Linked DNA regions of Drosophila melanogaster. The protein of the gene in region 1 purifies or fractionates together with the protein of each later gene. This does not show direct contact. Each region holds a gene or a part of one and is shown on either strand. Other genes may lie near its edges.

The links.
Region 2: the proteins of CG2685 (region 1) and sbr purify together in Drosophila melanogaster (affinity purification with western blotting, with the first as the bait; one study listed by BioGRID). This does not show direct contact.

The regions. Positions count from the first base shown.
Region 1 is NC_004354.4:2,711,135-2,715,824, reverse strand, and holds CG2685 (uncharacterized protein), read left to right. Parts: upstream 1-1,864; 5' UTR 1,865-2,083; coding exon 2,084-2,147; intron 2,148-2,203; coding exon 2,204-2,329; intron 2,330-2,393; coding exon 2,394-2,491; intron 2,492-2,554; coding exon 2,555-3,732; intron 3,733-3,802; coding exon 3,803-3,995; 3' UTR 3,996-4,069; downstream 4,070-4,690. Other genes in the region: CG2694 (uncharacterized protein), read right to left, coding at 1-311, 392-487, 545-1,048, 1,219-1,314, 1,372-1,537, 1,615-1,695; CG2681 (uncharacterized protein), read right to left, coding at 4,279-4,690.
Region 2 is NC_004354.4:10,843,785-10,848,979, reverse strand, and holds the start of sbr (small bristles), read left to right. Parts: upstream 1-1,887; 5' UTR 1,888-2,391; coding exon 2,392-2,488; intron 2,489-2,552; coding exon 2,553-2,713; intron 2,714-2,780; coding exon 2,781-2,873; intron 2,874-3,898; exon of another isoform or gene 3,899-4,060; coding exon of another isoform or gene 4,061-5,195. Other genes in the region: CG2202 (uncharacterized protein), read right to left, coding at 1-85; Pgls (6-phosphogluconolactonase), read right to left, coding at 499-615, 735-1,210, 1,342-1,480; CG32669 (uncharacterized protein), read left to right, coding at 4,061-5,195. UniProt on the Drosophila melanogaster protein: Mediates the export of the majority of mRNAs from the nucleus to the cytoplasm. In ovarian follicle cells, plays a role in transposable element silencing regulation by enabling the nuclear export of flamenco (flam) transcripts and subsequent piRNA biogenesis.

The DNA.
Region 1 (4,690 bases):
TTCGACATAGACCATCGGAGGTGTTGCCTCCGGCGACGAGCGGCTGCCATCGGGGCTGAAGGCTAAGCTGGTGTTTCTAAAGCTACGCCGTTTGCGCTCCGTCCACTTGAGCTGATCGAAATCTTCTCCCTCATACTCATCGTCGTCGGCATCCAGTGACACCTCGTCGGAGTCCTCCTCGCCATCGCCCTTCGACTGGGAGGAGGAGGAGTAGTCAAACTGCTGGTTCGGACGTGAGACCACAACACGACCACTGCGCGTCACCACGGGTTGATTCGAGGAGATGTTCATCTCGTTCAGATTCTGGTAAGCTGCGTAGTAGCAATTTAGTAAATGGTTTAGCTAGAGCAGGTGCCCCTAAGGTTGCAGATCAATTCGACCTCTTACTCACAAATCTTTTTGGCCAACACATCGCCCTTGGTCTGCGGCGATCTGCGCTTCGCGCCCAGTTTGTGTGTCTTCATGTCGGTTTCAATGGCACTAGGATCTATTGCATTCGCAGTGTTATAATTATTATTGTTATTACTGATTGATCGGCACTCACTGCTGCTGCCCGAATCAAGTGAGAGATCGATGTATGAGGAGTCCTCGGTGAACTCCTTGCGCAGTTCTTCGAAGTCGGAGGAGTTACAGAGCTCGGACGAGTGAAGGAAGCTGCACGCCGTAGCTGAGGAATCATCGGACACTAGTATTATGCTTCCGCTGTCGCTGTTGACGGTCGCAACTGAAGCATTTTGATGGGCTTCCACCTGGGGCTGGGATTGGGGCGTCTTGCACGGCAACTTCAAATGAACCAGTGCCAATTCGGATTGACTGGCCGGCATGGGCGCTGGGTCGCAGCCAATCTGTGCGTTGTCATGGTCCTCTAGTTTCCAGTCCTGGAGCAGGCCGGCCAGAAGGATGTCCTCCGAATTGGCACTTGGCTTCGCGGACATTTCGAATGCGAAATCGAATTCGTTATTTTGTTTGCGGCTTTGACTTTTTTCGATTTGAGGTAGCGGCGTTATTTTCCTATCGTATATCGACACAAATTGCTCGAATGCCAGTGCTGAAAAACAACGGCACGAGAAGCTCTGTAAACGGCAATGTTGACTGATAGCGGGAAAGTTTGAGGCCGGTTATTGGGATGACTTAAAAAGCACAAGCACAGCTAGTTGCCTGCATGAATTTAGCTTGGGCTGCCCGATATCCCATATTCCCATAACCAGACCCACTTACCTTTTTTGGCGTTCGGCTCGTCGTCCCCGCAGCCTGGCCAGAGACGCTTCACGGCCAACTTCGGTGTCTTCCCCTCGCCATGAATGGAACCAGGACCTGCATCATGAAAACGAAATGAAAATGCAGGTGTCAAGTAGATAACATTGTTATTACCTATGTCCCACAGCTTGCGGCTGTGCAGGTTCTGCAATTTTGTGCTCTCCGTGGTGGGCACGTCCTTCTGGCCCTCTCCCGGCGTGGAGGTAAGGAAATCGTCTGAAATCCTTATCAGCGCGCCCGGTATCTGATTGGGTGTGAATAGGACATGGGATTGCGACGCCTTGCACGCGGTTACATGAAATCAACCAAATGGGCTTAGGATTGACTGACCTGGCTGGCGACTGGTTCACATCCTACCTGTACGCCACTATTGTTCAACTGTGCATTCATCCTTTCGTCCGGAATCTTTAACTGCTGTGCAGAGCTCTCGAATGCCATCGTACTGGCAATTTCGCGTCTGTTGCCGCGTTACCTATGTGGCGGTAATAATCGTCTATCGTTTTTCTAATCCTGGCTAGTGATGAAAAACATCGGAGAAAACTTTTGAGCGTATGGGATGTTAGCTATTCCCCGCCAAATTTTGTTGGTCACACTTCGAGCTCTAGTGCTTACTGTTCTGTTTTTATCGATATCAGCCTGCGCGTGTATCGGCCTATCGAGCTGCAAACGAATAAATAAATAAAAATATAAATAAATCAATTGAAAGTGATATTATAAAAGCAAATTAGGACGTTGGGCAGGAAAAAAACGCCGGTAACAATATTGCAGCGCCGGCGTTTAGGTGAAGTCATTCGTTTAGTTGCAGCAACAAGAAATAGCCAGCAAGATGGGACGCCGCTCCATAAACACCACGAAGAGTGGAAAGTACATGAATCCCACGGACCAGGCGCGTAAGTATGATCCTTTTTAGCTCGATATGTTGAATCCACCATGCTGCACCTTTCAGGCAAGGAGGCCCGCAAGAAGGAGCTCAAGAAGAACAAGAAACAGCGCCAAATGGTGCGGGCCGCCGTTTTGAAGAACAAGGATCCTTCACAGATACTTGAGGAGATGGAGAAGATCGACGAGATGGGTGAGTAGTCCATCGAGCCTGCAGGATTCGCGTCAGCCACTCATGCAGCGTCTACAATTTGCAGAGTACAACGTTCTGCAACCATCGCCGCTGAACGAGAAGGTGCTGCGCGACAAGCGCAAAAAGCTGAAGGAAACATTCGACCGCGTAATGCGACTCTATGTAAGACCAACTCGGCACGATAATAGTGTAGTCCACCTAACAACTGAAATATCCATCTTCCAGCACAATGACGAGCCGGAGCACTGGGCGGACCTCAAGCGCAAGGAGGTGGAGTATGAGAAGAAGCGCCTGAAGAAGCAGCAGTACTACGAAAGCGTTAAGCACGCCCAGAGCGTCCAGATTGACGAAATTCCACTGCCCGCTCCGGTGTCTGCCGTGTCAGGCGGTTCTACCGAAACGACTGGCGGATCGGTGGTTGCGGGATTCGGCGCATCCGTTGTCATACGCCTTCCCCCACCGCCCATGACAATGGCACTGCCGCCTTATGCTCCAGGCGCTCCACCAGGCGTGTCCAGAAATAGCGATTTAGCCAGCGAGGCGCAAGTGGAGAAATCGAAGGAGAACGAGCAAAAGGATTGGCTGGGTGTCCCGCCGGGACCGCCGCCAGATCTGTTTGCCTTTTCCGAACTCAATTCCGATGCCGAGGGAAATACTGACTACGATGGTGAGGGCGAGGAGGAGGAGCCAGAGCCATTGAAGAAGGGCAAGGATAAAGAGAAGGACAAGAACAGCGAGGCCACCGAGCCAAATAACCAAAATATCGACGACTTCATGAAGGAAATGGAGCATGTGCACAAGCGTAAGCATCGAAAACTGGCGGCTAAAGAGGACGAGGCCGACAAAAAGCGGGAGGAGGACGATGGGAAAGATATAGATAAGATAGAGGAACGAACATCTGACTCCGATAAGAGAACCGCCAGCAGTACGGACGATGAGGACGACGATGACCAGGATGAGGATGAAAATATGCCCGAAGTGCCGACCAAGCCAGCATCAGTCAAATCATCTACAGCGACACCCGCGCCAGCTCCTCCGACAGCGCCCACATTGCCGACTATTCCGCTGCCACCAGCGTCGTCTGTGCCTGCGCCGCCACAGCTGCCACACCTACCGCCAATTCCTAATCTTGGGCCACCTGGCATAATGTACCGACCTCCACCCATGCGACCTCCTCACCCGGGTTCCGGCTTTGGCATACGCATGCCACCTGGACCGCCGCCAGGACCCAGGGCACCGCATGGCCTGGGACCAATACCGCGCATGGGCATCAGGATGCCACCAGGACCGCCGCCAGGTCTGCCTCCGCGCCTTGCGCACCACAATAAGCAGGGAGGCGGCGCAGGTGCACCAAAGGAGTCAGCCAAGGGTGTGGCCACTATTACAGCCAAGCCACAAATCAGGTGGGTTCGATGACTTTCCGGCGCAGTAGAACCAATTCCCATTACTAAACATTCCAAACTTACTCATTAGGAATCTGAGTGCGGATGTCACCCGCTTTGTACCGTCCACGTTGCGAGTGAAGCGCGAGGATCAGCGACGCACGGCGAGGCCCAGGCATGCGGCCAACGATGGACACCACGCCCACTCCGAGGCGCACAGCAAGCCGCCCACCAAGGATGACGCCTATCTGCAGTTCATGAACGAGATGCAGGGCTTGCTGTAGCACGCAAAAGGAGTCGCGTAGTGGTAGCTGAGTAGTCTAAGTCCTAGATAAAACGTGTCATCCAAACCAATACCAAACCAAACTCGTTTCATTCGCAGCTTGCTACGGACTGAGATTCAAGTAACGAACGTGTGTGGAGTATAATTTGTTTTTTTTTTTTTATTTTTTATTTTATTTATTTCGGTTTTAGTACATATACAATAGATTAAAACATTTGCTATATTTACATGCTTTCAACTCTTGCGACTGTTGACGAATTAGAAAAGGCACACACACGGAATCACTACTTGCCATTGCTTTGGACCGGAGAGGTCGATCCATCCCTGACTGCCTTCTTGCTGAACGGGCGCAGCTCCACGATATCCGCCTTGAGTGCCCGGAAGCTTCTTCGCAGCGAATCCGACACCTTTTTCGTGTAACTCGTGCTGTTGCTGCACTGGGAGAGCTTATCGTCGCCATTTCCATTGCGCAGATCGGCGGCCAGCGGACGCAGCTCATCCTCCGCGGGCGTGGCATCGTTCAGAGTGTTCCGCAGATATTTCCGATTGAAGTGCAGCTGCGGTGTGCCCCACTTGCGCTCGAGCTCCACACCGCCGGCTCCGTCGGCTCCAATGGCCCCAGCGCCGTCGGCTGCAGCCGGATCCTCCTCCGAGTCCGGACTGGCCACATCCGCTTTGGTCACCTCGCCGATGGCC
Region 2 (5,195 bases), 8.1 Mb from region 1:
AAACCAACTTGCTGACCGCCGGCTCAGTTTGCGCCTCCTGGCACGAACCCAACTCCAGCTGCGGCTGCGGCTGTGGCGTTGCCATGGCTGTTGCGCGTCCTTCGATCTTTGCTATTGCATGTGGGCATCGACAATTAGCACAATTGCTGCTGAATTTTCATAATTTTTCTTTTATTTTAACAATACGAAGCGTTTGTTGTGCTCGCGAGTGCCGTCATACTGGGTGCGCCATTTGTTGTGTTACCGAGTTCGGCCACACTGCGTAAATATCGATATTTTTCATGTTGCCGATAGCTTTTTTAAACCAGATTTGCATTTTACAAACATTTTCTAAACATTAAATAAATATATAAAGAAATTCAAAAATAATTGTAAAATCACAATATTTGGAGTGTTTATTTATTTTCTCCAACCTTAATAGCTCAACAAATTAAACGCTCTCGAAAAGATTATCAAGGTAATTATTATTTACAAGATGCGATAGTTAACTAAGGAATGTCATTTTAAGGTTTCAATTTCTTTTCCAGCACCCGCGTCCACAATCAATGTCAACTGCCCTTTGGTCGGATTCACCCACGCAGCGGGAAACTTCTTGTCCAGATCGACAAACACACTCTAAAAAATATAATAACAACAAAAATAAACCTTACAAATGAAGTTTTTGAATTGTGGTTAAAAATATCAGATTTCTTGCTCATATTCTTTTCCATCTTATCAAGCTAAAGAGACCTCACCTTGACGACACTGGCTTTTGCGGCGCCCGTAACCACGAAGGCGACATTCCGTGCCTTATTGATCAGCGGCAGGGTGAAAGTGATCCGCTCGGGAGGCGGCTTGGGCGAGTTCCGGATGGGGATAACCAGGCGCTTGGTCTCCTGCAGGGTGGCTGGCTGCTCGGGAAAGAGGGAGCAGGTGTGGCCATCGGGTCCCATGCCAAGCAGCAGCAGATCGAAGCGATCGACTTGACTTTTGACCTTCGCCTCGTAATCTGCGGCGCAGGCGTCCAGCGGTTGGCTGGTATCGGCGCGGACGAACTGGGATTCCTGGATGCAGGGCAATTGGGTTAGCCACTCGGCCCTGTAGGCACCATAGGTGGAATCGCTGTCATCCAGGCGAACATACCGCTCGTCACAGAAGAAAAACACCCATTTGGCCGTTTTTAAGTTGCACGATTTCAGGGCTTTCGTTAGCAACTGGACGAGGGAACCACCTGTAAGCGAAACAAGACACTTGACTTTGGGAGCACAAGTTTAAAGATCGCACCTGGCAAGGTCACCCCTCAAGTTTGGCTTATCACAAGCCAACCCACTTGACCTGCATGACCTGTGCGTTGATCCTTACCCGAAAGTCCCACGCTGAACTTATCATGTTTGGCCAGCGCCTCCTGGGAGCAGCGCTGGAGAAGATCGCCCAGGGCCTGGACAAGTTGCTCCTCCGAAGCGGACGGGATTACTTTTAGCGCACCCTTTTTCTCCGACATATTGCTTGATCTGATAATAAAACTCGACTCGACTTCGATTTGTCAGTAATCACCATTCCCTCTCTCAACTATCGATTACCAATTTATGAAATACATTGCACCGTTTGCGACAAAATGAAAGTAAGTAAATCTTATACGAAAACATTTCACTACCTCTATTCGTAAAATAACAACTTATTTGATATTGAGCAAAAAAGGAGTGTGTACGTGTGTGCTACAACTATATAATATTTAAAGTAAGAATGAGGTAACTCTCTTCAAAACAGTCCAATAAAATAATATTGCATTCTAAAGTTTAACTGCAACAAAACAAAAAATAGCCAATAATCTTTAGATTTATCGCGGTTGTTCTGCGCTAGAGTGTCATCACTGATTACGACCTGTGCGATAGTTGGCCCGCCATCATCGATAGACCTGTCAGAAATTAAGAAAACAATATCAACATCAAGCGAATATACTTCGCTCGCTACATATTTCTAGTTAGTTTTCGTAACTTTTTCGCTTTGGTGGCAATTAAATCAAATTTCCTCGAAGAATAACTTGTAAAAAGGTCGCAAACATCCGTCCAGTTTCTGCCAACCATCGGCCACTGGCTATCGAAAGAAGATCGCTAGTGAATTAAATTTCACAAAATTGCGTTGTACTTTGGCCGTGGAAATTTGCCAAAAAACAGCAGCTACTTTGCTGCTATATTAGCAAATAGGTTCAGGAAGTCGAGAAAAATTTTTCCAGAAGTTGGCAGCAGTTTGTGTGAATGCAAAAAATACATCGCACATAGTTTTTTGCCCTCAAGACAGTTTTCTCAGTAATAACAACAGCACCCACACAAACACACAACACCACTCAGCTAAAAACGTGCTGAAATTCGCATATCTTTTTGTTGCATACGTTTTTGAGTGAATATTAGTAAGATGCCCAAACGCGGCGGTGGCAGTAGCCAGCGGTACAACAACAACGTTGGAAATGGCGGCGGACGTTACAACGCTCCCGAGGATTTCGATGATTTTGGTCAGTACACGGGAGTGCAAGAAAATGAACCCTCCAGTAACCTAAATATAATGTATTCCTATAGATGTGGAGGATCGCCAGCGACGCAAGGATCGAAACAAGCGGCGCGTCAGCTTTAAGCCCTCCCAATGTCTACATAACAAAAAGGACATCAAGCTGCGACCCGAAGATTTGCGTCGATGGGACGAGGATGATGACATGAGCGACATGACCACGGCCGTTAAGGTGCCCACCAACCCCACATGTTATCCCTATGCACATTTCTAATCTAATGTATAATTAATTCCAACAGGATAGACCCACCTCCCGACGTCGGGGATCGCCCATTCCGCGCGGCAAGTTCGGCAAACTGATGCCCAACAGCTTTGGCTGGTACCAAGTCACGGTGAGTTTGGACTACCATGTCATATAGATATCATAGCCGCAATGGCCCAGACCAAAATCATGTGATTTAATAGTAGTTTTATTACTAAGCTAAAGAAGCAAAAGCATTCAGTCCTCCAGCACCTGTTAGATTTATAACGTTCGCCATTATACAAATTAATCGACTGTTCTACTGGATGGCTCTTCTTATGCGAAGTACATATATGTTAAATGTAGTTTTAAGTATTTAGATTACTAACGTCACATAAAACTTCCAGAAGTTTGCTCCAGTGCTCTACTAATTTCCCGCCCCTACATAGAACTACAAACCCCAGACTGGTCCATATAGATACCAGATTTACGACAGCAGTCATAGAACTATTTTTGGTCTCCAAGAACATCATGTGATTCGTCTGATGGCTTTTTTTTTTTGTTATTGGCAAAAGATCGCGTTGAGGGAGCAAAGTATCCGGCAAGAATCGCATAAGTTACAGCGAAATGTTGAGACTTATTTGTTTATTTGTACACTGCTTCCAAAGCTCCAATGCCGACTTGCCGACTGGGCTCTTTGTGTTTATTAATTAATTTCCCTCGTAAAAATCGTAAAGCAAACAAGCCAAAGTTGGGCCGGGGGGATACCAGCTCTACACAGCTAACGACAATCGGGTACTACAATTACAATTGCAATCCGACGAGCGGGCAAATAAATATTTATGGATGGCTAAACACAGTCGTCCACAGTACCAGCCACAAGTGTTTGTCGGCACGAGCTAAAAGTGCAATGAAGTCGAGCCTTTGGTGGTTTGACAGTTGCCATGACCCTCACCTAAATGGTTTCCCATTTTAAGGGCTTGCGGGCCTGCGGTTGGGTTATCCTTCGCCTGGTTGTCACCCTATCCAGCCGCACGTGGTGCAACACAACAGGTCGCTATCTCTCGACGGGGTCGTAAATGCCATAGTAAAATGCCCAATGCTGACTCTCCACCAACAAAAGCTTGCGGTTTCATTCCGTTTGGGCCTTTATTTCATCGACGGCCGGCAGACGGTGAAGACGTGTTCCAACGTCCGACGCCCCATAGAATATATCGCTTGAATCTCAAGAGGCCCGATTAGGGGCAACTTATCAGTTTGGAGTGATTAGATGTGCGACTAGGGTTCCGTCGGGAAAATCAGCCTAACACGTGCCCCACTTAAAACCCGGCATCTGCAATGGCTACTTTGGGCGCCTGGGACTACACGATCCTGGCGGTGGTGCTGATCATCTCCGTTGCGATTGGCATCTACTACCGTTTCGTGGGCGGCAAGCAGAGCACCACCACCGAATATCTTCTGGCGGATCGTTCCATGAACGTGGCGCCTGTGGCCTTTAGCCTGATGGCCAGTTTCATGTCGGCCGTCACCATATTGGGCGTATCCATGGAGAACTACCAGTACGGTACAATGTTCGTCGTGATCAATCTGTCGTATGTGTTGTCCACGCCGGTGGCCGCCTACCTCATCATTCCGGTCTTCTATCGCCTAAAGACGGCCAGTGTGTACGAGTATCTGGAACTGCGGTTTGGCTATGCCACCCGATTGGCCGCCTCGCTGAGCTTCTCGCTCCAGATGGTCCTATACATGGGCATTGTGGTCTATGCGCCGGCTCTGGCCCTGGAAGCTGTCACTGGACTGAGCCAGGTCTTCTCCATCGTAATTGTTGGAGTCGTGTGCACGTTCTATGCGACGCTCGGCGGAATGAAGGCCGTACTCATCACGGACATCTATCAGTCGCTCCTCATGTTCGCCGCTGTCTTCAGTGTAATCATCTGTGCCTGGGTGAAGGCGGGCAGCTTGGAGGTGATATGGCGCGTGGCGCAGGAAAACGGACGCATCAATCTGACCAACTTCAGTGTGGATCCAACGGAACGTCACACTTGGTTCACCCAGATTTTAGGCGGATGTGCCACCTATTTGGCCATCTATGGTGTGAATCAAACGCAGGTCCAGCGCCTGATGGCGGTGAAGAGTTTGAGTGCCGCTCGAGCGGCCCTGTGGTGGTGCCTGCCCATTCTGTGCCTGCTTAGTCTGAGCACCTGTTTCTCCGGTCTGTGCATCTACTGGTACTACCGCGACTGTGACCCGCTGCTGGAGGGTAGAGTCAACTCGCGCGATCAAGTGATGCCGCTCTTTGTCGTGGACACGATGGGCGAATACACCGGTTTGGCTGGCCTCTTCGTTTCGGGAATCTTTTGCGCCAGCCTCTCCACGATTAGTTCGATAATCAGCTCGCTGGCAGCCGTCACCCTGGAGGATTACCTCAAGCCCTTGGTCAGCTGCTGTGCCAAACGCACGCTCACCGACCGTC